4 linked regions of the Notamacropus eugenii genome follow. The protein of the gene in region 3 interacts with the protein of the main gene of each other region in a pairwise test. Links are inferred from orthologs where the notes say so. Each region holds a gene or a part of one and is shown on either strand. Other genes may lie near its edges.

Region 1 (7,624 bases), on a different chromosome or scaffold from region 3:
AATAAATCCACCAAACTGAGTAAATGTAAGCTCTCTTTTGAATGTGCATTTAGAGTGTTCCTCTAATCTTAAATTGAACTTGTCTACCCTCTCTCCGTAGGTAAATCAGAATGTGATACTACAGGTTCCAGTGGGGCTGCGAGTACATTGTCTTTTCGTATGTGTCATAACTCTGCTTGTTACAATCTTATGTTCTGGTCTTATACTCAGAGCCATCTTCAAACATGGTCATTTCTCCCTGTGAGAATGTAATGTAATAGTTGGTAGTATTCTAGAATTATGGCATTCCTTTTAATTGACAGTAATGTATTTTAGTTTTGTTGAGAACAGTTAAATAAAAAATGTAGAATGGTGTTTTGTAAATAATTTCACCTAATTTTTACTTAATACAGAAATTTATGCTGCATTTGTGCTTGGTAATTTCTCAAGTATCAAGTGCCAATATAAACAATTTAATTCTGTTAAATGGATAAATTATTTTTCAAAGAATAGGGTCAGTTACAAGATTGTAAGCCCTTTGAGTGTAAAGAATCATGTCTTATTTATCTTTGTATTTGCCTCACAGCCTGAGGTAGCTCTTTGCTCTTAGTGTAATATGTGTTAATTGAATTAGAAGAGAAAAATGAGTTCTATTTTCAGAGAAATGAATTTCTTATATTTTTTGATATTATTAACTAACAGATGTTAATAGAAATCAGAGAAAGCATTACAGATGAGGGCACAGTATTTCTAATCAGACATTTGATTGACAATTAATTTTTTTGAAAAACATTAGAAAACATCCAATGGTTTAGGGAGAAGCAAAATTAACACCAGAGACTGTTATTGCTAATAGCAAAACTTACCATACTCAGTGGCATCCTATTTCTCTTTTATTATATTGCTTCTGGATTTATATACATCTGTTAATGGTGGGGAAGGAAAAATAATGAAGTTACTTAATAAGCTTTAGTATAAGAGAAGTGTGAGGGAACACAGCTCAGTCTGCTCATTAAAGAAGATCTTCTATGAAACCTTGTATGTCTCATAATAAGATTATTATACATTGATTTTTAAAAATGGAGGCCTAGTCCCTGCTTTATTTGGTTAAAAAAAATAGGAAGTAAGAATAACAGTAGGCGAACCTCAAAATAACCCTGAAGTAAATGTGCTGCTAACCAATAAATCAGAGCATATTATTTTTTAAAAATATATTTTTATCTATTGTGTTAAATATTTCCCAATTACTTGAAAAAATTGTTTTAACATTCATTTTTAAAAATTTTGAGTTCCAAATTCTCTCCCTTCCTCCTGCCCCTCACCCACCCCTTGAGAAGGTAAGCAATATTGTATCTATGATACATGTAAATCACACAAAACATATTTCCATATTGGCTGTGTTGCTAAAGAAGACACAAAACCTCCCCCAAAAAAATAAAGTAAAAAAAGTATGCTTCAGTTGGCATTCAGAGTTCATCAGTTCTCTCTCTGGGGGTGGATACCATTTTTCATCATGAATTGTTTGGGATTGTCTTGGGATTTGGAATCATTGTCTTGATCAGAATACCCAAATCTTTAACAGTTGATCACCATTACAATATTGCTGTTTCTGTGTATAGTGTTCCCCTGGTTCTACTCACTTCACTTTATATCAATTCATATAAGTCTTCCTAGATTTTTCAGTCAGGATATATTATAACTATGCTTTTTGGTAGAGTAAATACAATGTGATATATGTGTGTGGTATATACATAAACATGTAAGATCAGGAGAATTCCCAATTTGCAAATCTGTTTCTCACAATGAAACTAATTAATTAAACTGCTGCTTGATTGTTGGCACTTTGTCTCTGGCTTGCTGTTTCGTCATTCTCAGTTTAGATACTGACTCAGTAAAAAATCCTGTTAATATCAGTAAATATTTTATTGTATGAAGAACATAGTATAGTAATATAGGTTATGTAGCAGCATTTATCACAAAAAAGAAGCAGCTGGGGTATTGTAGAAGCCATCCTAAAATATGGCTTTCTACTGTTTTCCAAAGATAAATACCTTCAAAGAGGGTTTATCTTTCTCAGAGGCTTTATAGTTGGACCCAGGACCTTATCTTGCCCAGAATCAGGCTACCACATCATTTCCAGACCACTTCTGGAACATCCTCCCATCCCAGTTTCTAGCTCAAAGATAGATAGATGATAAGTAGATAGATATATACTTCCATCTCTCTCTCTCTCCCGCCCCCTTCCTCCCTCTCTCTCCCTCCCTCTCTCCCTTTCCCCCCCCCCTCAATTGCATTGTCAGTTTCTTAAGGGTAGGACTTGCTTGCTTGTAATACACACAGTCCTAAGCCCAATGCCTGGCACATAGTAAGTGCTTAATCAGTATTTTTTTTCACTCCAGTGCAGAGATGAGTTGGGGCTTCATTCTTTGATTTGATAATTGAAAAGGCAAAATTTCTATGGGCCAATTACATTTTTTGATCTGTTATTTTTTTCTTATGGGTACCTTTGATTTTTTAAAGAGATTTAGCATTAAAGGGCTAGGTTTAACTGTTAAAAATTTACCAAACCTCAAAGTTGCTATGCAATTTTGTGGCTTTCTAGAGTGCTTGCTTCTTGAAGTACAGTGTCTCCTAAAATGATTTTACAGGAAGAATCAACTCATGGAACTGCAAGGAATTTTAAAGATTACCTAGTCCAGCTATTATACCTCATTTTACAGATGTGGAAAGTATAATAAGATGGGAAGTGATTTCTCTGAGGTCATATTTTCAAGTTATATAGTTACAGAATGTTACCAGTTGGGTGGGCTTGATAGATAAATCTATTTCCCCTTTCTTTATTGGACAGATAAGGAAATCGAGGTGGAGACAGTGACTTGCACAATATCACGTAGATAGTATTAAAGGCAAGACCAAGACATAATTCCAGTTTACCATTGATTCTCCCAGTTTGTTCTTTCTACCTTATCATGTTACTTCTACAAAACTGAATGCCACAAATCTTTTGTCTGTACATCCTGGATCTGTCTCTGAAAAGCATTCAAGTATACCACAGGCCTAGTTCACTGCATCCTGACATTCTTCCGCTCATTTCATTTTGCTGCTTCAGGCAGAATAAGGAATAGGGTGAGGACAGTTAAGTGATCATTATACTTGACTTCGGATGAGGGAAGGTGGATCCAAATTTTGAAGTAGGTGGTTTGTTTTTGGAGGTCTCCTGCTTCCTTTTTGTGGGGCAACTAGGTGGTAAAATGTATAGAGTACCGGGTCTGAAGTCAGGAAGCATTATGACACTGGCTGTATATACCTGGGCAAACCATTCTAGTATTTTTGCCAAGAAAACCTCAAATGGGGTTACAAAGAGTTGGATACCACTAAGCAACCAAAAAACCTTCCATTGTACTGCAATGCAATAAAATATTGATTATATACATCATGGGGAAACTGAGGCCTGGGTTCAGGAATGACTTAAAATACACACACACACATGCACACTTTCCCAGTTACATGTAAAAACAAAATCAACATTAATTTAAAAAAAAAATTGAGTTTCAAATTTTCTCCCTCTTTCCCACAAATGCAAAATACAAAACATTTTCCTATTAGACATGTTGCAAAAGAAAACACATCAAAAAGGAAGAAAAGTAAAGTAAAAAAAAAGTATACTTCAAAATGCCAGCAGAGTTTGTCAGTTTTCTCTGGAGGGTGGATAGCATTTTTCATCATGGGTCCTTTGGAACTGTCTTGGATCCTTGTCTATGTTACAATGTTTAAGTCTTTCATCTTTGATCATTGTTACAACGTTGCTGTTATTGTATACAATGTTCTATTTTTGCTCACTTTACTTTGCATCAGTTCATTTAAGTAGAATGACTTTTTTGAATGAATGAATAAAAAATTTATTTAGTGCTTACTATCAGAAAGCATTGTGTTTTGGACATCAAGATTTGGTAGGTAAACACCTAAATGGATTTAGAAGGTGGCATATCACTTCAGAGGACTCTCAGACTAGAAATGGTAAGCCTTTTTCATGCATAATAAAAAAAAATTAGCATTGACGTGTGCATAGGATTTATGTATATCCTAACTATCTGGTGAATTCCCCAAATAGAGCAGAATTGGCATAGGCCCTTTAGGAGACAGGGGATTGCACTACATGAAAGACTGCACAGCCTCTCTGGGCTCTGAATCACCAACCACCCGGGAACTACAACTCCCAGTAGCCTCTTGTTCCCTTCGCGGACGGCGGCCAATCGGGTTTGAGGGGCGCGGTTTGACCCAGGAGAGGCGACGGCTCCCGCTCGGCACAGCCTGCGGGGCGCTGCAGTTGTTGACGCCTCCTCCCCTGAGCTCTCCTCGTCCCCCCTCCCTCCTCTAGGGTTGTGGCCACGCGCAGCAGCAGCGGCGGCGGCGGTTGTTCCGCTTCCCCTCAGGCCCCGGCGGTCGCCATTGCCCAAGGCTGCCTCCCCTGCCCTGCCTGCACTGGGGCGCTCGGGGCGGCAGCACGGCCTAGTAGCGAGGGCGACCGCAGTAGTGTCCCGGGGCAGGGGGCCTCGAGTTGCGAGGCCGGCTCCCGGTCCCCCCCCTACCCTGCTCTCCCTTGCCGCGCCCTCCCGGGGCGGCTCCGGAGCCAGCCAGCCAGCCAGGCGGGGCGCGCGGGGCTTGCGTCCCGGCGGTCGCAGGAGGAGACGCTGACCCAGGCGCCTCGCAGGGGCGGGGACGCTTCTCTCCGTGGCCGCGGTAAGTGAGGCTTGGCGCCCCCTCCCCCGCGCCAGGCACCCCGGCTCGGCCGCCGCCGCCACCTGCGTCCCGGGGCGGTGGCTGCTTATTGTTTGCTCCCCCGGGGCAGACTTCTTCCCCTTCTCTGCTTCTGGGGGAAGGGAGGGCCGAGAAGTTGGGCGGGAGGGCCGAGAAGTTGGACGGGAGTGGGGGTCGTCCTGCCCCTGACCTGCCCCGAGCCTCTGCCCCTCTGCTCTCCACTTATCTCTCCCTTCCACTCACACGTCTTTTTCTTTTCCTCGTGGCCCCTTTGGAGTCCGGCCAGTTTCTCTCCTTCCCGACAGTTCCCAGCGATCCCTCCTGTCCTCCCTCTTTGGGCTCTGGACATGGGTCCGTTGAATCTCTGCCCAGCCCTTAACCCCAATCTGCTATCTCCCTTCCCACAAACCGCAGCAGCTGAAACTCCTGGTCCACAAATCCATCCCCACCTCTGTAGCAACAACTCCTTAGGTCTCATTTCTGATCATTCCCATTTTAATCCCACTGTGCCAGGAGGCGAGTTGTGGACTTCTGTAGGTAACCTTAAATTAACTTGAAGTTACTGAGCATGAACTTGCTGCTTTCAGCTACTTAAATTTCTTTTTTTTGGGGGGGGGGGCACTCCTAGAATAAAAACTTCTTAAGTGGATTCATCATTTTGCACAAGTCTTTTAAGTACTGAATGACCCGAGTATTGATGTCTGGAAAGTACTTCTAGTTTCCTGGTTAGAGTATAGTTTGTGGTCGTCCTTTTATTGGGGGTGAGAGAGAATATCCTCTTTATGCAACAGGAGATTTATTTCCCGCTATATGGTGATTCATCGATTTCTATCTAATAATCTAGACATGTTTTGCCTCCTTTGCAAAAGGACACAATCAGAATGGTTAGGCCTAAAATTAGACCCACAAGCTGGGTTTTGGATCAAGGCTATACGCGTCACATTTTTTCCCCTGCTGTGTTTGACTCTTCCGCTCTTATAAGTAGGCAGGATATTGAAATCTACAAGAATTTACTCTTGAGAGTTTGTTTTTGTAGGTTGTCCAGAAAAATAAGAATAATTTAAAATGAAGCTAGATGAAGATCTCTTTTGTTAGATGAACTAAGTGCACAGTAATTTTGGAGGCAAGTAAAAACTTGTCCAGCCTTGCCAGAGGTTCTGTAGCTTTTGTCAAAGACTTAACTTTTTAGAAAAAAGGAAGACCGAGTAAAATCTCGTTTAAGAATATAGGTTTAAGGTGACACTTTTATCTTTGGCTTTTTAAATTGTGCACTTGGCACTATTGGTTAGCAAGTGACAAATTTTTTTAATCATCAGAAGAAAAAGCATCTATCAGAGAGAACATTTTGTTAAGGCAGTGTTTAAGGTGACAGTTGCTTTAGGAAAACTCAGGACTGATGATAAGTTTCTAGCCCCTCAACAAAGATGATTTTTTATGTTTTTGATGTGGACCTAGACATTGAACCCATGGAGGTGATCCAAATTCAGGTGTTTTTGTGTGGTCTTCTCACTGTTACTGCTGAAAACCTACAAATGGTATGGTGTCCCTTTTCCAAACATAATAAAAAAAGCATTAGTATTGAAGTGTTCCAAAGGCTATGTGCGTGACATGATTGGTTGGTGAGCAACAATGAATAGCCAAGATCTTAACCTCTTCTTTTTCTTTTAGAGACTTAACACAACCCCTCATGCCAAGAATGGGGTTAAATGTTTGATAATTGTAGTTCTGATAATCTCAGGGTATGAGATGTTGGAACTCTTAGAGTTCTTTAAAACTTTGTTTTTTATGACAGTTGTATGTGCAATCCCTGGTTCTCATTCAGGAAATTACACACCCAGAATTATAGCTAGCTGGGAGTGACCTTAAAGGTCATTTAGGCCAGTGACTATATTGTACAGATGAGGAACTAGAGGCCCATAGAGGTGTCCAGTGACTTGCTTAAGGTTATTAAGCTAATAAGTAGCAGAATCAGTATTCTATCACAGGCTTTCTGACCGACAAGACTGGTGAAGCTTTTTCTGCTGTGGTATGCTATCTTTTTTCTAGGTATTCCTGTCTAGTTGAGACCTAGGATCCTGTGACTAGACAACTTATTACTCAGTGATATTGCTGTTATTTGGGAAATTATTTTTTTTCTGGAGCATTATAATGTTTCTAATGTTTGCAGAGAATATTTCCTTTTAGGTACTTTGCCTGCAGTTACTGAAAGCTGCCGTCAGGTGTTTTATCGCTTGAGCAGACAGGATACCTCATTGACATGGCTGATAGAGTAGCATGCTTTTCCATTAAATGCTTTTTTTTTTTAAACAAAGTATTCTGGTAGGAAACACAGTTTTTAGTTCATGACTTTAAGATATCAGAACCTAGGTACAATTTGATATATTTTCCCACAGATCTTTAGCTGTTATTATTTACTCATCAACCACAATTTAAAGTAAAATGCTTAGGTAAAACATTTATCTAATGATTTTAGTAAAATGCTTCTTTTGATTCCTCCTGAATTTATATTAGGTCACAAAATTTTGAGGTGTCTGGAAATCTCATTAGTATTTTGGTCCTTTTGGTGTCAGAAGTTCATGCTTTTCCTGTTCTTTAGCCGCGTCCCTCAAATCCATTGATCTTTCATTGATGGGCATTTGATCACTTCTAAGCTAATAAAAAAGATGGAATATATTCAGGTGACTTAGCTCCAAACCAGTACTGCTGTCCTTGTAGCATTCATCTTTCATAGTCTAGAGGTGAAAAAGAAAAAAAAGGAATCATAAGAGGTAGTTTTAGGGTCAGTGAACATATGAATCTTGATGTCCGTCAAGCATTTTGAATCTTTATCTTCAAAATAATCAAGTGTGAATAATGGGTCTTGTGATAGTTTTATGTTATTTTGCTG
Region 2 (7,915 bases), on a different chromosome or scaffold from region 3:
AAAATGGAGAACAAAGTTCAGTTCAGAAATCAAACTCATTCAATAAAAATAAGAAAGTACCATCTTCCTGAGCATCAAACTAAGTCTCAGTGACACATTAGTAAACCAAGGGGTCTTATCAAGAAGGTATAGAAGAAAAAAAATTTTTCATTCTTTAATGATTTTTGTTGGGGGGTGGCTGTATCTGAGGAAATACTTTATTAAATAAGACTTCCATTTTTTGGCACAAAGTTTTCTGGATCTGCTTTCAAAGGAACTAAAAGCAATCAGTCATTGCTTTATTTTCTCCATGTCAGCTTAAAGAATACTAAATTAGTTTTACTTCTAAGTTCTTCAACACATGTATAGCTTTCTCAGTTCTGTTGCACACAACAGAAGTTTTTCTTTAGTGTGAAAGAGGAAAAAGTTCTACGATCAGGAAGTTGTTAAAAATTTGGGTCCAAGTCAAAGCATCATTTAAGATCTTTTGTTATTTCTAAAATATGGTCCCTGGCCCAGAAATAAATCCAGATCTAAATCTGTTTAAGAAAAAGAACAAAGTACTAACAAAAATCACCAATTACCTAACACACCAAACGCATAATGGATCAAGGATTAACGCTAAGTTCCTCTATAACCAGCAGGGGTAAAGACCCAGTTATAAGGTTCACTTGTCCTGAATTTTAAAAGAATATGAAATGGTTTGGTTTGGAGGAAGGCCACAGAGCACAATAAAAAAACTCTCCTATCACCCTTCACTAAAGTATAGGGTTTCAAAAGATTACATCTTCCCCTTAATTGTTTTATAAGACAACATTAGAAATACCTAAAATAGACAGAAGTAGTGGCTGTAGCCCCCATCTTCTACACACACCCCTTTTTCAATTTAGATTCTCCAAAGAATTCCCCAAAGTTACTCATGTCATATTCCCAGGCTTCCAGGGCAGACAATATATAATGATCTCATCATGGAAAACCCCGTGAACAGCTTTTAATAGAGGTGGAGACCCCAATGAATCAGGAAGGAAAATGGAACAGTTGGGGAGGAAATGGCCTGTTAAAACCTCTCAAATATGAATTCAAAATAATATAATTAACATTAAGTTGATTTTGAAGCTGATTTTTACTCTATCCCCCTCTCCACCTTCATGTGGGTCTTAGTAGGGTAATGAATAAAACATAATAACTATATAACTTTCCCTAACCTTCACTTCTTTCATTTTTTTCTCTTAGGAAGTCACAACCATCCCATTTTTTTCTGGGGGTGGGGGAAGAAACAAGCAAAGGAAACCAACGAACAGAAAGAAAAGAGTCAGAAACATTGAAAACGACAATTTATGTGGCACCACTAGAGCTGGCCCTGTCTGCAACTGCCTTCTGTTCACTCAAGAAGCACCAGCTTCTTAAGATATCTCTGAGGAGGTTTTCTATCCTTCTTTCATCCTGCAAACCACATGTAAGGGAATGGATGTGCGGATGCCAAGGCATATTTATGATGCAACAAACATGAAAAAAGCAGTCATGTTAGCTAATTACATGAAGCATTTGGGGAGACTTCTATATACTTGCACAAGGACAGGATCATAGGAGAGTGTCTATGGATGTTAGCTATTAGAAACTTTGAGAGAGATAAAGACAGAGGGAGGGAAGGGGGAGAGAGAGGAAGAAAGAGAAGAAGAGAGAGGGAAAGAGGGAGAAAAAGAGAGGGAGATAGAATACAGAGTGAGGGAGAGAGGGAGAAAGAGATTGGGAGAGAGAAGGAGAGAGGTAGAGGGAGAAAGAGGAGAGAGAAGGGGGGAGAGAGAGAGAGAGACAAAGAGAGACAGAAAGAGACAGAGGGACAGAAAGAGAGAGAGGGAGAGAGAGAGATGGTTGAAGGGAGAGAAGGGAAGAAAGGAGGAAGGGATGGAGGAAAGAAAGAAAGATATTAAGAAAAAGAAAGAAAGAATTAAATGAGATAAATCCTCCAGACAAACGTACACTCTCCACATCCCCTTATAATACTCCTAATGAGGCTGGCTAACAGCCTTCCCCTTCTCTACCCTCTGCCCCAAGCCCAGGCACACACAAGCTGGGTGACCCTGGGAACGTCACCTAACACCTCAGCGTCCCAAGAAACTCTACGACTGCGAAGTCCTAAGAGCAAAGGGAGTTCCCCACAGGTATGAGGTTACGGGTCCACAAAGACAAGGGGCATCAAGGACCCCTCCAGGCTCCCCTTCCCCAACACGGGGGGCCACGAGCAGGGCTGGGGGAAGCAGCACCTGCAGGCACCTAGCGAGCAGATAATTAACAAGTGCTCGTTGGCCGCCGGACAGAAGGGGACGGCCTGCATTTGGGGGGCTCGAGAGGGGCCCGTGCTCGCGCACCCTCCCCGCCGTGCACCCCGAGGCTCGGAAGGAGAGGGCCTCTCTCGATCCGGCCCGGGGAGCCCCCTCCCCTAGTATCTGCTCCGGAGAGCAGCAGCCTGGCAGCAGCAGCGCAGACGGCAACGACGGCGGCCACGCAGCCCGGGCGCTCCTCGGGGCTGTGCCACCCCGGGGAAGTGGCTGCCCGTCTCGGTGCCTCAGGTTCTGCATCCCAGTGGGGGCGGCAGCTCCACGGGGCTGTGGTGTAGACGGACCTCCGGCCGACAGGACGCTGATCCTCAGCACGGCCCCCCCAGCTCCCCGGGGGGTCCTGTACGCACCTCCCAGGCGCCGGCAGCCCCCACTCCCCGCTAGGAGCAGCGCACACACGCGGGGCTGGGGCTCGGGTGGATCCCGGCCCCGGCCGTCCAGGACTCCCTCCCTCGCTAGCTCGCTCACCTCCCCGGCAGCTTAGCGCTCCTCTTCCAAAACTGCTTGCTGTTGTCTCCGGCCATGGCTCGGGCCCGGGGAGCGGGCTGTAGGCGGGGCCGGGGAGGGGGGGGAGCCGGAGAGACGCCCCCAGGACCCCGCCACCCGAGGGCCGCGCAAGGCCGCTTCCCTCCTGCTGCCGCCGCCGCCGCTGCCACAGCCGCCGGTCACCCGCTCCCACCTCCCGGGGGCGCCATGTTGGATGTGGGCGCCCCCCCTCCTCCTCACGACGCCGCGCCGCTGCCATTGGTCGACGGCGGGGGCCGTCGCCACGCAAGCCAATGAGGAGCGTGCGTCGTGTGGGCCGCCGAAGTCGAGAGTTACGTCAGGGGTCGGGCATACTTACAGGTGGGCAGCGGGGGAGGAGTCCTAGAGGATGGAGGGGCGGGACTTAGAAGCGCCAATCACCGGGAAGAGCTGGAGTAGGTAAAGAAACCTACACCTTGGTGAGAGAAAGAAGACACTTTTTTATTGAGTTGGGTCTCTTAGGACTCCGAGTTGACTTTTTTCTTTTCTTTTTCTTGTCCTCTTCTCTCCTCTCCTCTTTTTTTCTCTCTCTTCCTTTTCCCTTTCTTTTCCTTTTTCTTTCCTTTTTTTTTTTTGAGGGGGGTGTTGGCTGAGAGAGGGTCAAGGGAGGACCAGATGAGAAGTAGGAAAAGAACTCTTCTTCTAAAAGTTAGAAACTCGTGATGAAAAAATGTTATTCACCTCCAGAGAGAGAACTGATGAACTCAGTGCACACTGAAGGAAATTTTCTTACTTTTTTTTCTATATGGCTAATATGGAAATATTTTGCATGATTTCACAAATATAATGGATATCATTTGTTTGCCTAAGTGGGTGGGAGAGTGGTGGGAGGGAGAGAAAGAATTTGGAACTCAAAATTTAAAAAGAAAATTTCAAAAATAAATAAAAAATATTTTTAAAAATGAAATAAAAGTTAGGAAGTTAGTATTCCAATGTCCTAGCTCTCATCACCAGCTAATTGTCACTGCTCTATACACACAGTGAAAAACTTTCTCCTTCTGAACCACAACTTCCTTACCCACAAAGCAAAGAAAATGCCTTTGACTCAGGGCTACCACTTCTGCAACAAAAGAGCGGTTAGTTGATGAGAATCCCATTAAGCACTTAGAGAACTGGTGAGGTGTACCACATAAAAGAAGTAATCTTTGTCCCATGGAAGTTCACATACTAGATAGTCCACGTTCTTTCTATTACTTTGGGGAGGCAACCTGGTTTAGCGGATAGGGAGCTGGGGCCCCAAGCAAAAAGATTTAGGTTCAAGTCTCACTTCTGACACTACTGACTATATAGTGTTATAGTCACTGCTGCAGGCTGTTATCTAAAGTTGTAAAACTGTAGAAAAGACACTGACCTTTATTGGTAGAGGAAGGTCCCTATTCATTCAACCAACATACATTAAGCTTCTACCATATAGACAAGAATTACACAGGTTGAATGACCTACTATCAGTGTACAGAAAGATAATGTTGATATTGAATCATATTATGGAAAGAGCCCTCTCTAGGAAAGGCGAAAACCATGAACAGTTGACTATAATAGACAGTATTATGTAAGTGTACTGGAAATAGATAAAAGTGTTTTTTCAATAACGAGAGGGAAAGTCATTACCTCTTGATGACAACCCAGATGTTGGCACATCTGTATAATGGTGTAAGAAGTTGCATAGTGATTTCAGTCAAGAATTCATTGAAAACAGAGTGCCAAAAACTATTTTGTGGGAGGGCATGATTGCTCTCCATGGATTCAGTCACTAAAGTTAGAGAAGTACCCTCCAAAAATCGTTGTATTTAGAAAAACCTCCCTGACTCCATTTCTATTTTCAAACTGTACTATCTATTGGGATGAGTTTCTCATGCTTACTACTCAGGCATGACTTTCTTTCAAACTAACTTTTGTACCTTTCTTTAAGATACTTTTGTCCCATGACCTCAGTATTGAGATTTGAGATAGAGATCACTCAACTCATGCTTTTATAGACTTTGATCATGTCCTCTTACCTCTTCCCCGCATACTCCCACCAGATCTCTTATATTCCTGAGCTGTTATACTCAAACAGAAGCTGCTGCATCTATCCCTTTGATCATTGTTAACAGATATTTTCTAATTATGTCTCTCATGAAATGTTGTGATCAGAGCTGTACACAATATTCCATATATGGATATACCATGGTTTTGTGCAGGGTATAAAAAAATCTCTGGGCTAAGAGAACTTAGTTAACCTTATTCATAACAACAAAGTAGACCAAAAAGAGAATTCCTCTTGAAATGGGCCTGGGTATGCTTCTCATTTATTTCTTTCATTATCTCCACCAGGTAGTATCTAGAAAACTTTAGTATCTGATACTCCCTTAAGGGCAACCATCAGGGCAATCTTTACAACCATCAGGTTCACTGGGTTTCAAAACACAGAACAGTTCTATATATGGGGAACATAGAAAGACATTACATCCAAACTCAAAAGAATCAAACCCCCTCCCCCCACCTCATCACTACCTATCATCCAACCTTGCCTCCCAGGAACCTGTACAGTCCTTATGACTTACAATACTACCTTGAATGGTGCTCCAGAAAGTAGGAATGCCTCTGGATCTGTGTCCACACTTTGGTGTTCTGTTCCTGCCACCTTTTTTACCACTGATGTTCTCCAGTACTTGCTGTCTCACCATCCTCTCTTTTAATCTGCTTACTGGCTGTTGATATTTGCTACTTCCATAATCTTTAGCTCTTCAGTCTGTAAAGTAATTGCATTAGAGGAGCCTTAGTTGCCTGTATAACAGGCAACTATTTCTCTCCTCTGGGGCCAGAATGTCTCTAGGCTACTTATACCTTCTGTTGTTTTTAACACCTTAGTCTCAGGAGTCTCAGAGCACTACTCGGTACACTAAGGGCTCTTACACTATTTTGTGTCATGGACCCCTTTGGCAATCTGAAACTTACCAACAACCTTCTTAGAACAATGCTTTAAAATTAATTTAAATATATATATATATATATATATATATATATGATTACAAAGGCAGCCAATTATATCAAAATATAATTTTTTTAATTTAAAAAGTAGTTCTAAATCACTATTAATCAGAGAAATGCACATATAAACAACTCTGAGGTAACATCTCACACCTACCAGACTGGCTAACATGACAAAGGAGGAAAATGTTGAGGGGATATGGGAAAACTGGGACTCTAATGCATTGCTAATAGAGTTGTGAACTGATCCAACCATTCTGGGAAGCAATTTGGAATTATGCCCAAAGGGTTATAAAACTGTGCACTAGTAGGTCTATATTCCAAAGACGTGAAAACCTTTGTACAAAAATATTTATAGCAGCTCCTTTTTTTTTTTTTTTGAAATCGAGAGGATATCCATCAATTGGGGAATGGCTAAATAAGCTGTAGCATATGATTATAATGGAATATTAATTATGTTTTAAGAAATGAATGACAAGCAGGATTATTTCAGAAACACCTGGAAAGACTTACATGCACTGATACAAAGTGAGCAGAACCAGGAGAATGTTACACACAATAATCATAATATTGTACAACAAAGAGCTATGAATGACTTAGCTCTTCTCAGCAATACAATAGCCCAAGACAATCCACTAATGATGAAGCATATTCTCCACTTCCAAAGAAAAAACTGATACTGTCTGAATACAGACTGAAGCATGCTATTTTTCTCTTCTTTCTTTCCTTCTTTTTTTTATTTATCTTTTTATATAAAATGACTAATATGGACATGTTTTACATGATTGCACATGTATAAACTATATCAGATTGCTTACCACCTCAGGGAAGAATGAGGGGAGGGATAGAGGAAGGGAGGGATAGAATTTCAAACTCAAAACTCTAAAAAAAATTTAAAAATTGTTTTAATATGTATTTGGGGAAAATTTTATATTTTTTAAAATAAATGTTAGCAGGTTATCCTGAAAAAGAAAAAAGTCCCAGATTAAGAACCCCTACTGTAACTCAAAGCACTTAGGTATCCATTAAATTCTCCCATTTCTTTCCATTGTCCACTTTGAATCAGTTCACAATGAATCTCTTCCTTTTATCTCTTCCCTTCCCCAGTACCTGAGTTGTGTGTCTTCTGTTCAATTAGCACCTTCCATTTATTATCAGTGGGATTCAGAGGGTACTGGGAATCCCTTTGCATTTGCGAACCAGTTCTTTCCAGCAAAGGCAGTAAGGAAGAAAAAAGAATTTGAAGGTCCTTGCTGGAATGGGATAAAGATTTCTATTTATTTCTGATTACTTTCCTGATAATGTTGAGAGTTTTGTTGGGGCAACAATACGTTGAGTAGTGAAGTCTTTACAGCTGACATTCCACAACTGTAGCCATATACACTTCCCTAAGGAGACAATGCAAGTATACATCACTATCAGATATTTGGAGCTAAGATCAATTATCCATTTATCTAAATTTCAATATCTTTCAGCGTTGCTTTCAAATGACATTGTTGTGATCACTTATTTATTGTTTTCTAATTTATACTTTCATTGCTCCATATCAGTTCATTCAAGTCTTCTGTTTCCTGGAATTTCTCATATTCATTGTTCCTTATGTACAATAATATTCCATTACATTTGTGGAGCACAGTTTGTTTAACCATTTCCCAGTTGGTAGGTACCCACTAGGTTTTCGCTGTCCTCAAAAGTGCTGTTATTAATATTCTGGTCTCTCTATAAGGGATCTTTCTTTTGGTCTTTGACTTCCCTGAATATGATGGGGTCCAACAATGGGATGTCATGATCAAAGGGTGTAAAGAATTTAGTTATTTTTAGTTTTAGTTATTTTTCTTCAAATCAATAATTTGATTCCAAATTATTTTCTAGAATGGTTGGACTGAAGTTGCTAAATTTTATTATTTCTGAATCTACAACATCTCTCCTACATCCCCCTTATCTCAACTCTCACAGCCACTACCCTGATTTAGGCCTTCATAACCCTATTTTTTAAAGGACTCCTTTTTAAAATTATACTTTAAGTGAACAATCTCCCACTGCCTCTCTTCCCTTTCTCCCCATTGAGGAATCAAGAAAAACAGAATTTCTTTTACAAACAT
Region 3 (7,079 bases):
TCCCTCTGTCAGTATGAACAACCTCCCCTGCTCATGGCCACAGATTCATTGCCATGGCAATCTCTTGGCTGAGCCATCTCCTGCCATTAGAGAGGCAATGTGGTCTAGTAGAAAGCTCTCTGGACTTGGGAGTTGGGAATGCTTGAGTTTAGACCCTATCTCTGATGCTTATTAGCTGTGAAAGCAGATTCTGAGCCTCAAAGCACTCATCCATAAAATGCTTGTAGCCCCTGTCACCAAATCACCCTCAAGGCTCCCTTGTTAGAGCCTACCTCTGACACATACCGGCAGCATGTCATAGTGGGCTCCTCAGACAGCTGACTTTTAAGTTACTGACCAGTTGCTGATGTTTGATGTTTATCATGGAGGGGGAGCATCCCTCCCTCTACATTCTCTCTCTCCCTCCCCCTCTCCCTCCCTCCCCCTCTCCCTCTCCTTCCCTCCCTTCCCCCCCCTCTCTCTATCCCTCCCCTTCTCCCTTCCTTGGGGCAAAATATCTACCTGACAGGTTCCTGAGGCTTCAGTGACGTATGGTGTATGTAAAGTGATTTGCTAACCTTCAAGTGCTGTTATGTAAATGCCACCTATTATAATAGGTGTAGAGGACGGATAGATTTCTATTTACACACGTTATATAACATGCAAAAGAAAAGAAAAGACAGCAAAGGAGGTGGGATAGCTTTTGAGGGCTTGAAGCAAAAAACACCTGTGGCTGCTGCATCAAGTAGCTGGGAAAAGAAGAGCAAGCTGTTGTAGTGCTGGGCAGCTGGAACAGCAGTAGCAAGCTCCCCAAAAACAAATAGAATCCCTACCCCCATCCCTCCCCTGGAGGGGAGGGGAGAGAAAGAGTGAATGCCTGATGAAGTGAGCCAGAACAATCACAGCTGAGACCGGACGGAGGAGCTGAGAAACCTGAGGCCTGGGGTTTCCAGATGGAAGAGTTTATCCTGTCCTCTCCAAAAAGATAGAAATCTGTAGGTTTCTCCTGCTTCATACTCTGGGAAGCTCTGAGTATTTCCCTCACTCCCTTGACCTCTCTGTGAGGCAGTATGGGTGATAGAGAGGGCATCCTTTCCAGCGGCTGCAGCCAGGCAGCCGGCCTGGTTAGAGGTTACAGGAGAAAAGAAGGAAAAAAAACCAGGAAGAGAAAGTGATGGTGCCCAAATGCACACATGACGTGCTTTGTTTTGCCTGCTTCGTGTCATTTAATAAACCCAGTTGAGCTTGGGGCCTTGAATTGGCAGGCCAAAGTTCATTTACATAGGAATCAAGAAGTCAGAAGAGGGTGGGTCCATTTAGCCCCTCTTCCACAATTTACACCCCCCTCCCCACTTACCTCCCCCCAGTCTGTTTACTCAAGTGCCTATTCCCACAGTGATGAATGAGACTGGTAGACCATCCTCAAGCTCCATGACCCTCCCTCATGACAAACAGGAAGTCAGGACATTAGTCAGCTCAGCCACAACCTCTGTGTTAAATATTTGTCTTGGAGTCTAGGCTAGAGCCCTGGAGAATAAGGGGACTCTGCTGCTGGCAAGTAGTGTTCTGGTCAGGATCACAGGCAATCAAGGATGTCCAGTGCCAGCCCTGGAGAGCAAGTAAGGAGAAGGCAACAGATCCCTGTGCAGGCCTGGGAGCCTTTTTGGCTGGTTTCCCCTGGGTGGGGATAATGTTTAGGGCAGAGGGAGTGAATGAAGGCAGTATCTTCAAAGGCAGGGAGATCGGGGTGGATGTTCCCAAGGAAGGGTTAAGTCCCAGGCCTCTTTAAAAAAAGATCATTGCTTAGTCCTTGTTAGTTCCTCTTTTCAACGAATCCTCACACAATGCCCACCCACTCCATCCCCTAACTTTTCATTGCGAAGAAGAAAAGGAGTGCTCTAAACCCCCCACACACTTCTGATTAAGTTACAACAGGGAAACCAAGTTAGAGATACCAGTCACCACTGTTCATGTTCATGTTCTTTGGGAATGGATCCCCATTCCTGCTTATCCCTTTCATAAAATATCTCATGTTGGAGGAACAAAGGGCCTTAGAGAAGTTTTACTCTCTCAGTGCACTGTGACCTAAAGAAGGAGGAAGGACCTACCATAGGTTGGGCTCCTAGGCCTACTCTGTGGCTGCTAACCTCAGGGTTGAGGGAGCTGCCCAGAGTTCTTCAGGCTGGGATGCCCTCCTCCGGAGTCCTGAAGCCTACCTCCTGATCATTCGTGGTATGAACAGGGCAAGTGCTATATTTGGTACAACGAGTGGGTCAGTGTTATAGTTCTTGTTTTATAGGGAAAGAAACAGGCCTGGCAAAGAATGGAGCCCAGGTCTCCTAGTTCCCAGTTCCAAACTCTTTGCACTGTACTGTGTATGTCATCCCATGAAACTTGGCAATCCCATTTCTTTCAGAAGCTGGATTGGTGCCTGTGTCCCTTGGAACAGAGGGGACATGGAGGAGGGTATGGGTTGTAGGAGTGGCCTGTTTTCTGAGCTCCCCTTGGGATTAGAGCTATTTCTAAGGTGCAGAGAACAGTGTGAGGGTTCCAACTGGGACTTAATGTCTCTGGAACATGTTCCCCTGGGATGGTCAAAGTCAACCTGGTTGCCTGAGCTCAGCTTACAAACAAGTTCTCTTTTCTTCCTTTCCCCAGGCCAAAAGCTCTTTAAATACTCCCTGCCAAGATCCAGAGATGGAGCATCACTGTGCTTGTTCCTGCCACTCCTCCAGCATCCCTGTTTCCTCCCATTCTCTCAACAGCTATGGTCAGGGGGATCCTTCTCCATTCCTTTCTGTCCCTAAGCTTCATCTGACTATTTAGAAGACCAAACAGAACCAGAGTCATGGATGAAGGCAGGAGGGATACTAATGAAAAATGGTAGCAGCAGCACAGGTTAAGAGGGAGTGGAATGAGTCTAGGGAGTCAATGGGCGTAGGTTCTTAGGAGCAGAGCCAGGAGCAACAGGAACATCGGAAAGACAACAAGATCAAAACGTGTTGTCCGCTGCCTGGGAACATGCGGACCACCCCACTACCGTCAGGGGTGGGCCTCCACCCTCATCCGCCCTCCCAGGCTGGCTTACCCCAGCCCCTCCCCTGTACCATTTCCTTAAGAGAAAATCCTTCCAGCCCAGGGCAGCCTTCCTCCATGTGTTCCCGCTCTATTGGCCCATTGCATGCGTATGTATATGTGTAAACGTACGTCTGCCAAGTCCTTGTTTCTCCACGGCTGTGTATATGTGTATAAATTTCACTATTCACACCTCTTTTATACCTCTAATTGTGCTGCAGCCGTGCCCTGTTTGTGTCAGTCTCTTTGCTTCACTGTCTCTTATTTCTGTCTCTGGGGCTCTCAGTTTCTATCCCTGTGTCTCACTGCGACTGTCCGTCTTATTCATCATTCCTGCACTAAAGGCGGGCTCCAGGACCAGAGGAGCACACCCCACACACCCATTCTGGAAATGTTGCTGGAAACTCTGAGTAGCCCCACTCTGGTGCCAAAGGCTCCACAGGGCACAGAAGGAAAGCTGCTGGGAAAGGTTCTTGTGGTCCCCTGGGACCCCCAGGACTCCTCCTCCTCTAAACACGCCCCACCCTGATCACTGGGTGATCTCCCTGCCTCTCCTCTGCCTCGGTCCCACCCTTGAAATGAGAGCAGCTCTCCCTTCCCCAGGAGATGGGCACTTGCTTGCCTATAGCCTCCTGACCAAATTACACCCCCCCTTCCAGTTTTCCCCCACCCCAACCCCCACAACACACATAAACACACAACATGAGGAGGGAGGGGAAAAAGCTACAGACAAAAAGTATGACTTTTCCCTACACCCCACCCTGCTGCAAACAGGCCAGAGATTGGAAACTCTCTGCTTGGTTCCCTCCCTTCTTTCTCTCTTCCCTCCCTTCCTCCCTCTCTCCAGCTTGCAGACTCCCTGCTGATTTGACTCTTTCTCTTTGTTATCTCTCTGTCCTCTCTATCTCACACCCACACTCCAGTTCCCCATTTTCTCTGTGACTCTGACTCTGTCTCACTGCCTCTCCTTCCTCCCCTCCCACCCACCCACCCACCCTATAAGAGTCTTATTCTGCCCCAGTCACGAGGGAGAGAGAACACACCCCAGACTTCTCCCCTTCCTGGCAGCCTCCCCAGAGGCCCACAGCTGTGGGCTCAAGGTGGAGGCTGGAGGGAATGCTTTCTCCCTCATGGACTCTCCATCCTCTCCACCAGTTCTTCTGCAGGTAGGTGCCAAAGAGGAGGAGGAGGGGGCAAAGGAGGAGAGGCTGAGGTCAGGGAGGGGAGGGATCAAGGAGGGAAGAACAGCCAATCCCTCGAACCAGACAAAGGGAAGGCAGACTGGCTCCTCCCTCTGGAGTCCACAGAAAAGCAGCTGGGCCCTCTTCCTATGCTCAGGGAAACTGAGGTACAGAGAAAAGAAATTGGGAAGAGGACTGGGGTCATCTTGCTCCTAGCACCTTGCTGTTCAAAGAAAATATAAGCTTACCTGGGAAGCCTTTTCTTGTCTTCTTGGGGGGAAATGGGGAAGAGAGAAGGAGCTGAGATTAACCACCACCACCCCATTTATTTTCCCATGTATTGTCCTGGACAAGGACAAAAAACCTCCAAGTAGTACTACATTGATTGCTGTAGTCCCAGAGTCAAGCCTTTAAATTAAAGAGGACTTGCCAAAAGGACTGGAGAATTCTGTCAAGCTCACAGGAAGTAGACAGAGTGCTGATCTGGGAGTCAGACCTGGTTTACTTCTGATCCCATCCCTGCATCATCTGGTGGGATGGATGTAGATCAAGGCCCTTTGCTTCCATTTCTCCCTAAATGAAGTACCTCTCCCTCTCTGTTCCCACTTTACCCCTACCTCTAACTCCTAGGGATACTGGTGGTCAAGAATGTAGAGGCCTGAATGGGCAAAGTGTATGTAAATTCTTATTGCTTTAAGGGACTGGGGTAACTGGGCCCATTCTCCCCATTAGGGAGAATGAGGTAGGATGGGAAAGGAAACATTGAGAACATTGTTTTAGGGGGAAAGGGAATATTGGAAAACAGACACAGTCTTTGCCTCCTGAAAACAGCCTAGTGATCAGGACTAGGGGTGGGGACTAAACTTGGAACTCCCAGATAAGAAATTCCTTCTCCTAGTGCATATTCCCACTTTCTCTCTGAGTCATAGAGAGAACTGTGGGGTTAAGTGACTAGCTTTGGGTCACACGTACAGTAGAGTCAGGATGGGAACCTTCCTAACTCCAAGGCCTTCTCTGCCACACTGGAAAACAAAGGAATTGTCCAGCCTGCTTGAAGGGAAATTATCCACTCTGAATTCCTCCTAGAGGTCAAGGAAGTCAGAGAACGTCAAGAGAAAGGAGAATCCAGGGTCAATTGATGATGATGATGATATAACTCAGAGCACTGAGAAGTTAAGGCCTGATACTTCCAGGCTGTCAGCCCTCAGCCAAGCTCTCCTTAGTCATGCCTCAGTGTCCCCCTGCATAATGTTTAGAAAAGAAAGAATTGGAGAAAGCTTTGATGTGAGTTGATCTGCTGATGTGGCATTGCCCTTAGTCCTAATTGAATCCAGCTGGTGAATGCCTTCACTTCCCACTCCTCCCCACCCCCAACAGTCTAATGGGCACAAAAAAGCAACAGGCAAGCTCCTGCTCCAAGCCCCAGCAAGTATAAGTGGCTCACAATAGGGGGCCTGCTTCCCTGACCTTCCTGATTTCTGGGACTTCATTACAAGTGAACAAGAGAGTGACAAGTTCCCCATCCCATGCCCCCCCAGTGCACTGCTCATGTGAAATCCCCACTCTGGCCATGGGCATGCATCTTCCCAGCATACAGGACTCCCTCTTTTCCTCCTTTTGCGAATGCTGCCCTTTGTGAGTGTGGAAGCCACCCACAAATGACTTGGACTCAACTCAGGAGGTGCCAGTGTGACGCAGGCAAGTCCTGTGACTCTAGCTGGGGTGGGGTAGGGTGGAAGGAAGTCCCATGTCAACCCATGATTTCAGCCTACACTTTGTATTTAAATTTTCAAGAAGAGTCCAGGTCTCATGTCGCCATCACCCAGCACAGGGACCACCTTCCCTTCATCTTCCACCTGCTTCCTCCCTTTCCCCCAGCCTCCTCCTCCCCCTCTCCAAGTCTTCCACCTTCTCCTGCTGCCTACCCCTATGGGGGCTTTCTCCTCACAGAGCTGATCACCTCTTCTACACCCACTGCTGATTTCCAGAGATAAGCCATTCTCTACTATGGCCTCATTCTGTGGATCAGCAAGAACAGGTCTGGAAGACAGACAGATAGACAAAAAGGGACAGAGACACAAACCTAAACACAGAGACAGAGCAAAGAAGAAGAAACAGAGACAAGAAAAAGAGACAAATACAGGAAGGAAAGCAGAGGGAAAGACTTGTAGAAATGAGTAAGGAGAAAAATAGAAAGGTTAAGAAAGCAGAAGGAAAGCAGAGAAGATGAGACAGACCAAGGGAGAGATAAACGTACATATAGAAACAGGGAGAGAGACCAAGGGAGAGAGAAATATACAGATAGAGAGAAACAGTCAGAGATAGAGACAGAGAGAGACCAAGGGAAAGATAAACATGCAGAGAGAAACAGTGAGAGAGAGAAAGAGAGAGAGCATCCAGAGCCCAAGATTTGAAGGCAGGCCAGTCCCCATTGGCATTCTGAACTCCCCAGAGTCCCTGGGAAGGAAAGCTGAAATAGAAAAGGCTATGACCATTTCATGCTTAACTCCTGACTCAGGGAAGATGATTTCTACCCCTCACCCAAGAGGCACTGCTTGGTCTTGGTACTAAGGGGAGGGACCCTGCCTGTTCTCACTTGGGGCATATAGCCAAGCTAGACTAGTTTCTCTCCTTCCTTCCTTTGTTGCTGTGCCCAACAGCTGTTTCCATTTCTCTTTTCAGGGTTAGGAAGTCATAAAGTGCTTTGAGATCCCCATGGGGTATGCCTGGATGATTGGATGACCCAGGCATTTCCCATCCTCCCCTGCTTCTTGCCATCCCTCTTCTCTCTTACCCTTTCCCTCACCCTGGTCCTCCACACCCCCCCTTCCCCCCACCCCTGCA
Region 4 (7,604 bases), on a different chromosome or scaffold from region 3:
TTTTTCCTGAAAGGATTTAAAGATACACCGAGAAACTATTTGCCTCATGAGTCTTGTCACTTCAACTGGCTCCTTTTTTGCTCTTCATGTGTAAATGGTAGCACAAGGACCATAACATATATAAGGAGGGATTTTCCAGTAGCAAGGGTTGTTAAACATTGGAGTGAGCAGGTAATAGACACTGTGGAATCTATTTCTTTAGAGATTTTTTAAAATAGAACTAACTGTCATCTGTCTGGGATGGTTTAGATATGACCTTGCTCATGGCATCCTAGAGCTGGACTAGCGGACCTGTCAAGATCCAATCAGAGCCACTGATGCTATCTAAACATAGTTGCTGAGTCTCTTGCCTTGACACAAAGCACCTATGTTAATTATTCATTGAAACTTGTTTTAAAAGGGAAAAGGAAAGAATTCCTCCTTGAGGTTTACTGTTATGAATCACCTCTTATGCAACATAACCAAAGCTGGAAGGATTTAGAAAACAACCTTTATTAAGTTTGATATACAAATAATACAGCAAACCCCAGAGGCCAAGTGTGAGTGAACATAATGTTATCAGTTACCTTGGTTTAAATTGCCCTCAATTTAATTCAATTCAATAAAGAATTATTAGCCTAATAGATAACGTTTGCATGTTGTGTTCCCTGTTAGGCTGTGAGCTCTTTTAGATCAAGGACTGTTTTTTGTTTTGTTTAGTTTTGCCTGGCTTTGAACTTCCAGGGCTTAACACAGTATCTAGAACATAACAGGTGATCAATAGATGTTAATTGTCTGGCTGATTGTATAAAACCTTCTGCTAGGTATTGAAGATACAAAGATAAAGATGACATAATCCTTGCTGTCAAAATCAAACTGTCTAGTAGGGGATATCAAATGAAATATTTTGTCAAATAAGATAATATATAAAGTGCTTTGCCAACTTTAAAATACTGTATAAATGCTAGCTGTTTTTTATTAGATACAGAAAAAATAATATAATACTATTTAGAAAAAGATTCCATTCTTAAGAGATATGAATCATGGTACCATTAGAGATTTGGGGAGGGATTTTGTCTTTTAACTGGTGAAATTTGAGAAACATTCATAGAGAACTTGGTACCTAAGTTGGATCTCAAAAGACAAAAAGGATTTCAATCAGTGTTATCTTGGGGAGGAGGGTCCTATCCAAGTGTGTGAAAATTTATGAAAGCTCAAGAAAAATTAATGATTAACAAGAAGTTGGCTTAGGCCAGAGTGCAGGCTGTGTGGAATAGAGGACCATAAAATATCTGCAAGGATAGTCCAGAGCCAGATTGTGGACAGCTTTGAAGGCCAATTTGAGTTTTTATTTTATTCAGCAACCAATAGAAAACAACTGATGATTTTTTAAGCTAGGGAATGGAGTGAGCAAGTCAATGAATTAAGAAGACTACCATGGTAGCCGTGGGAAGGATGGCTTGAAAAAGAGATTGGAGGTAAGAAAGCCAGTTAGGAGAATCATTGTAGATATTCAGAAAGTATTGAGATGGGTAAAAAGGGGGAAATATGTCAAAGGTAGAAATCAGAGGGCTTGACAATGGATTGGACGTGCATGTGGATTAGTCAAAACTGATGGTTAGGTTTTAGATCTGGGTGGTGAGCAGAATGGTGATGTCATCACCAGAAATAGAAATGTTAAAGGAAAAAATGGTATCCAGAAACAATGAGTTCATTTTGGGACATATTTTAGGATTTACATGGGGATGTCCAGTAGACAATTGGAAATGGAGATTGGAACTCAGGACAAAAAGTGGAACTAGCAACAGAAATTTTAGAAGAGTCCTTTACATAGGTGAGCATTAAATTTATGATAGTGGATGAGATAACTGAGGGTAGGAGAGAAGAGAAGACCAAGGGCAGAGCACTGAACAGTAGGCATGTTCACTAGTGATTATATACCTCCAATATCTTCTTGCTGTCTACATAAAGTCTTTCCCACCACGACCTCTATTCCAGTTATTTCTCGTGGAAGTAATGCTCATCTATAAACAGACAAAACCATGGAGATTACTGGAGATGTATCTTTTTACAGGACTCTTTTAACTTCTGTTACAGGAAATGTATCAAAAACAGGGCCAACGAAGACTTAGATTCTTATAGCTTAATCTTTAAGCATCAATAGAATTTTCTTCCTCATTTCTGGGTAACCAGTTAAAAAAGGTACTTTCTTTGGCCCAATCTACATGAGTGGGAACAAATAAAACTACAAAAAATCATAGATTTAGAGCTGAAAGCACTTTAGAGGTCATCCAATCCAATCCTCCCATTTTATAGAAGAAATTAAGGCCCAGGGAAGTAAGAGTGGATTGCTTAAGTCTGCCTTGATCTAAACCCAAAGTCTTTTCAATCCAGATCCACCACGCTATACTGTTGTTGTGTTTATTGTTAGATAAGACCAACCCTGGGATTTCGGTGATATTCCAGTGCAGGTCGGTACTTTTTCTGCAACTGATTATCTTAAAAGGTTGTATAGAGCACTAAGAAGATAAATGACTTGCATAGGTCATACGGTCAATATGTATAAGAGGTAGAGCTTGAACATAGGTGGTAGCGGTAGTAGTAGTTGTCATTACCATAGTAATAGCAGCAGCAGCAGCAGCAGCAGTAGTAGTAGTGGTAGTAGTAGTAGTAGTGGTAGTGATAGTAGCAGTAGTAGCAGCAGCAGCAGTAACAACAGTCACAATAATAATACTTTACCAGTATTCTCTTTGGTACATTTACTTAACAGAAGGCATCACATATTTATAACCAAAAGATGAGAACTCTAGTGACCCTTCCAAACATAGACCAATTACATACATATATCTACGATATAAAAAGCATTCACAGCTTTTATTACTCAAATCTATTAATGCATACATACACACACACGTAACTATGTATAACTATGTGTGTGTGTGTGTGTGTGTGTGTGTGTAGAGAGACAGAGAGAGAGAGACAACAGAGAGAGAGACAACAGAGAGAGACAGAGACAGAGAGAAAGGAGCAAAAGTGTTGTGCCAAAAAAATCTTAGGAAGGTAAAGGGCACCTAATGGTAACAATAGTAAAATCAATAGTAACTATATTCACGTAGTACTTTACATATAGTCTAGTTCATCTGATCCTTACAACCCTAACACATCAGAGTTCTTATTATACAAGTGTTACAGATTATGAAACTGATTTGCCCAAGGGCATGCAGCTATCTGAAGAGGAATTCAAAACTATTTCCTTCTGAATCCAAGTCCAGCATTCTGTAAGTACATCAATACTGCCCACTGCTGGCACTTAAAAAATATTTGCAATCACTTGTATGCTTTCTACACTGTGTCTTATGCTGCTTACGTTCTGGTCTCAGTTGACAAGATATGTAAAGTTTGCTTTATTGACAAATTTGAGCTAGAAATCTGCTGAAGAGTTTATCAAAATGGAGCAAACATTTAACAGGGTCAATCTTATTATGACAGTAAGGAATGCATTTTTTTGCTGTTCAATCATGTCCAACTCTTCATGACCCCATTTAGGATTTTCTTGGCAAAGATACTGGAATGGTTTGCCATTTCCTTCTCCAGCTCATTTTACAGATGAGGAAACTGAGGCAAACAGGGTTAAGTGAATTGCCCAGGGTCACACAGCTAGTAAGTGTCTGAGGCTGGATTGGAACCCATGAAGATGAGTCTTCCTGACTCCAGGACTGCACTGTAATACACTGTGCCACCTAGCAGCCCTTCTTGCTGCATTGCTCCTTCACACAATACAGACATGGACAGAAAGAGCTATAAATGCTTCAAGAGGCAGCTTGGTGTATTAGAGAGTGCACAAGACTTGGAGTTAGGAAAACCTAAATTCAAATTCCACCGTAGACTTTTCTGAGCTGTATGACTTGGTACAGGTGACAATTTCTATGAACCTCAGTCTCTTGACATGAAACCTCACAGAATTATGGTAAGGATTAACTATGATAATATAGGTAAAGTGTTTTGTAAACCTTAAAGCAGTATATAGTAGTAGCATTAAAAAAAAAAAGAATTACTAGCTTGGAGAATGGCATAGGGAAGTATGAAGAGAAACATGTCGTATATCATCTGAGAAGAAACATATTTTCCAAGTGGTACTTCATATAAAAAAATTAGAAATGGCTAGGTTTTTAATCCTAGAGTATGAGCACTGTAGAGTTGGAAAGAACAATATGCCCCTTCTCTCCCCTTTCCCCCCACCCCACATACCCTGCCTTTGAAATCCACCAAGTAAGTAGAGAATGCCTGATTTGGTGTACCAGAACCTAGCCACACAACTTCAGGAGACATTGACATATATACATTGAGATTGCATGTAGTTAAAAAAAAAATCAAGATCTTGAAAACAAGAGTTAAATTTCCCTAACAAAAAGGATCTAAAATGGGCCATTGTCATCCGTTTGATATTAACATCAGTTCTTTTGGCGTGCTTGAAAATGCTGGGCTACACTATAAAGCTAAAAATGTCCTGGACCTAAAGTTGTTTACACAAAATATGAACAGATCTAAAGTTACAGAGCTGGGGTTGGAAGAGGTGTCTCTAAGGCCATCCTCCCCATAACTGACGTCACACCAGTCCCAGCTGCTGGTCTGACGCTGAGCTGAACTGTTGTTTTGTTTTTTTTTCACTCTGTAAAAGTAGTGAAGAATTCAAAGAGCCTTTAGTGTTGCTGTGCTGAATTGTTGTTCCCGCTTTGGTGTCTCCTAAAGGAGTGAAATTCACAGAGCTGGAAATTTTTTTTTTTCCTGTTCTCATAGCTATACATTCCACTTGTTTTTCACTGCTAGATTTACCAATGGACTGACAGAACTTTCAAAGGATTTCCTCCCTGCAAAAAAAGGTATGTTTTATTTCTGGAAACCTAAAAGTGAGCATCTAATTGTTATAAACTAGAGAGGGAATGCTATGTTTTAAAACTTGAAACTGCTGGAGTCCAGGATTATTTAAACATCTGTCTCTGCTTGAAAACAATGAGGTATGTAGTAACGGTTTGCACTGAGTTCCAAGGGAAAAAACCCTTCAGCTACTTAGACAGTGTCTTTAGACTTTGATTTTTTTTTCCAGTGAGAAAATGCTAACAATGCCATCAAGTAGTCTGGCTTCTTTTGTTTGACACTGTTTTCAGAAAGGAGCTTTAGGGAGGTTTAATTTTTCTAAATGTACAGTTCACAAAATGTTCAGCCTTAAGATTTTAGAGGTAAATAAAGTCACTTTCATCCAAGCTTATCATTGTTATTGAACATTAAGTATATTTATCAAATTATCAAACCTGTTATCCATAACAGGCTAATGTCTTGAAAAAAGGGGGGGGGGGATCATTATCCTCTGACATAAAGGCAAATTAATTTTAGATACTTGCATTTTTATGTCAAACATTTATTTTAAAATCAATTATTTTATTATTTTTTATTGAAAGAGAGGCAGTATTATGTTATATCTGGAGAAATGGACTTTCAGTCAGAAAACCTGTGTTCAAGTCTTGCCTCTGATACATACTAGCTCTGTGACCCTGTGCAAAGCCTTCCAAGGTCCAGAAAGCTCTTTAAGTTTTAAATTGCAGAAAAGATGTTTATATATGCATGGGTAGAATACTTAGTAGAGGAGAGAGTCCTTTTGAGAGAGCCAGGTTACTGTTAAAGTGTGCATCTAACTTGATAATGCTTAATAGATTCAAGTTCAATAAATTTAAATAAACCTACCCTAAATAAACTTTAGGGCAGCTAGGTGGCACAGTGGATATAGCACCAAACCGGGAGTCAGGAAGACCTGAGTCCAAATCCAACCTCAGACACTTACTAGCTGTGTGACCCTGGGGAAGTAATTGAACTGTATTTGCCTCAGTTTCCTCATCTGTAAAATCAGCAAGATAAGAAAATGACAAACCATTCCAGTATCTTTGCCAAGAAAACTCCAAAGGGGGTCACAAAGAGTTGAATATGACTGAAATGAGTGAAAAACAACAAAAACCCAAGAGTTATGAAGGGTGAAAAGGCAGTAGTAGTTTAAAGAGGAGGCAAAGTAAGGATGGAGCATCCCTTTAATTAGAAGGCATGGTTTTGGCTAGTAATAGCAATGAAAATAATGTCCTGTGGTAACACTAATTGGCTCATGTCATCCTGGTCTGGAAAGTTATCAGAAATGGCTTCCTGAGGTGAAGGATTCTGACTTATCATGTAGAACTGTACAAGATCTCAGACAATATCTACTTCAAGTCCCTCATTTTACACATAAGAGATCTAAGGCCCATGGAGGTTATGTTACTTGCCTAGGGACATACAGACATAGATTTTCAGCTATTCTAATCCAAACTCTTAATTTTTGCATATGAGAAAACTTAGTAAGCATCAGAGGTAGGATTTGGACCTAAGCCTTCTAAAACCAGAGTCAGTCTTCTTTCCATTATAGCCTCTTTTTATCTTGGTATCCCCAGAACCTCACTCAGTACCTATAAGCAGGTACTTATCATAGAATCAAGGGCAGCTAGATGGCACAGTGGATAGAGTACCTGATCAGGAGTCAGGAGTCATCTTCATGAGTTCAAATCCAGCCTCAGACACCTACTAATTGTGTGACCATGGACAGTTAAGCTTGTTTGCCTCAGTTACCTTATCTGTAAAAAGTGAGCTGGAGAAGAAAATGGCAAACCACTCCAGTATCTTTGCCAGGAAAATCTCAAATGGAGTCACAGAGAGTTGGAGGTGACTGAAAAATAACTCAGTAAACAGAATCATAGGTTGTAGAGCTGCAAGGAGCCTCAAAAGCCATCGAGTCCAACCACATCATTTTTACAGGTGAACAAACTGAAATCAGTGATGTTGCCCACAATCAGTCAGGTTGCTGACAGAACTGAGATTTGAACCCAGAACCTCTGACTCCAGACATTTCCACTGCTGTGCTACCTTTCTTATTATTGGTTAATTGTCTTCAAGCACATGTTCCCTCACAGTTAGAGCTATAAGAGAAAATTAGGTGTAATAGAATTACTCGGTTTTCCTGTTACTTTCTTATGGTTTTCACCAGATCATTTTGATCCAATCTCCAGATCTGAAGGGAGTGGAATGGGACAGTTAAAACAGCACAGAGAATATTCCTTAGAAATCTTCCTCTTCTCCCACACAGATACCAAAGTCTGTAGGAGAGGAGGCAACAGAGAAGTCTGTAGGAGCTGGGAACAGAATGGACTTTTATAATTGCTTCAGTATCATTAGTAAAAAGTGACTACAGTCAAGGGTCACATATTTTTTTAATATGCTTCCTATTATGACATCTCACTGTTTTCTTGCTGAGCTCTCTTCATCTAAAAAATGTTTTTAGTTTGATAATATTTATATCTGCTTTATAACAAAACAGTAATTATTACAGCCCAATGTTGTATAGGTATTGTCTATGTTAATTTAAAGTAAGAGGGAGCTTACCTCTAAATATTTATTCTGTACTCTCTACCACTGTTGAGAGAAAATGAGTAAGAATGGAAGAGCTTATGCACAACTGGGCTTTTCGGAAAACAGGCAATTAAGTAAAGGCCAGAATGAAAAACTGTATTTCAAAAAAGCGAATTATTATCTCAAGTTATTGCCTTTACCTT

Evidence for each region.
Region 1: the proteins of SORBS3 (region 3) and PAK2 interact in binary tests that used the Homo sapiens proteins (3 or more experiments, as listed by UniProt). The two-hybrid records come from large-scale screens. The link is inferred for Notamacropus eugenii from reciprocal best matches to the Homo sapiens genes SORBS3 and PAK2.
Region 2: the proteins of SORBS3 (region 3) and TBC1D22B interact in binary tests that used the Homo sapiens proteins (3 or more experiments, as listed by UniProt). The link is inferred for Notamacropus eugenii from reciprocal best matches to the Homo sapiens genes SORBS3 and TBC1D22B.
Region 4: the proteins of SORBS3 (region 3) and KIAA0408 interact in binary tests that used the Homo sapiens proteins (3 or more experiments, as listed by UniProt). The two-hybrid records come from large-scale screens. The link is inferred for Notamacropus eugenii from reciprocal best matches to the Homo sapiens genes SORBS3 and KIAA0408.

What each region holds. Positions count from the first base shown.
Region 1 is NC_092876.1:335,605,570-335,613,193, reverse strand, and holds the start of PAK2 (serine/threonine-protein kinase PAK 2), read left to right. Parts: upstream 1-4,607; 5' UTR 4,608-4,719; intron 4,720-7,624. Other genes in the region: PIGX (phosphatidylinositol-glycan biosynthesis class X protein), read left to right, coding at 101-244. UniProt on the Homo sapiens protein: Serine/threonine protein kinase that plays a role in a variety of different signaling pathways including cytoskeleton regulation, cell motility, cell cycle progression, apoptosis or proliferation.
Region 2 is NC_092873.1:94,914,881-94,922,795, reverse strand, and holds the start of TBC1D22B (TBC1 domain family member 22B), read right to left. Parts: upstream 3,018-7,915; 5' UTR 2,843-3,017; coding exon 2,787-2,842; intron 1-2,786. UniProt on the Homo sapiens protein: May act as a GTPase-activating protein for Rab family protein(s).
Region 3 is NC_092872.1:612,075,195-612,082,273, reverse strand, and holds the start of SORBS3 (vinexin), read left to right. Parts: upstream 1-4,066; 5' UTR 4,067-4,184; coding exon 4,185-4,220; intron 4,221-7,079. UniProt on the Homo sapiens protein: Vinexin alpha isoform promotes up-regulation of actin stress fiber formation. Vinexin beta isoform plays a role in cell spreading and enhances the activation of JNK/SAPK in response to EGF stimulation by using its third SH3 domain.
Region 4 is NC_092873.1:211,372,321-211,379,924, reverse strand, and holds the start of KIAA0408 (uncharacterized protein KIAA0408 homolog), read left to right. Parts: upstream 1-4,587; 5' UTR 4,588-4,859; intron 4,860-7,604.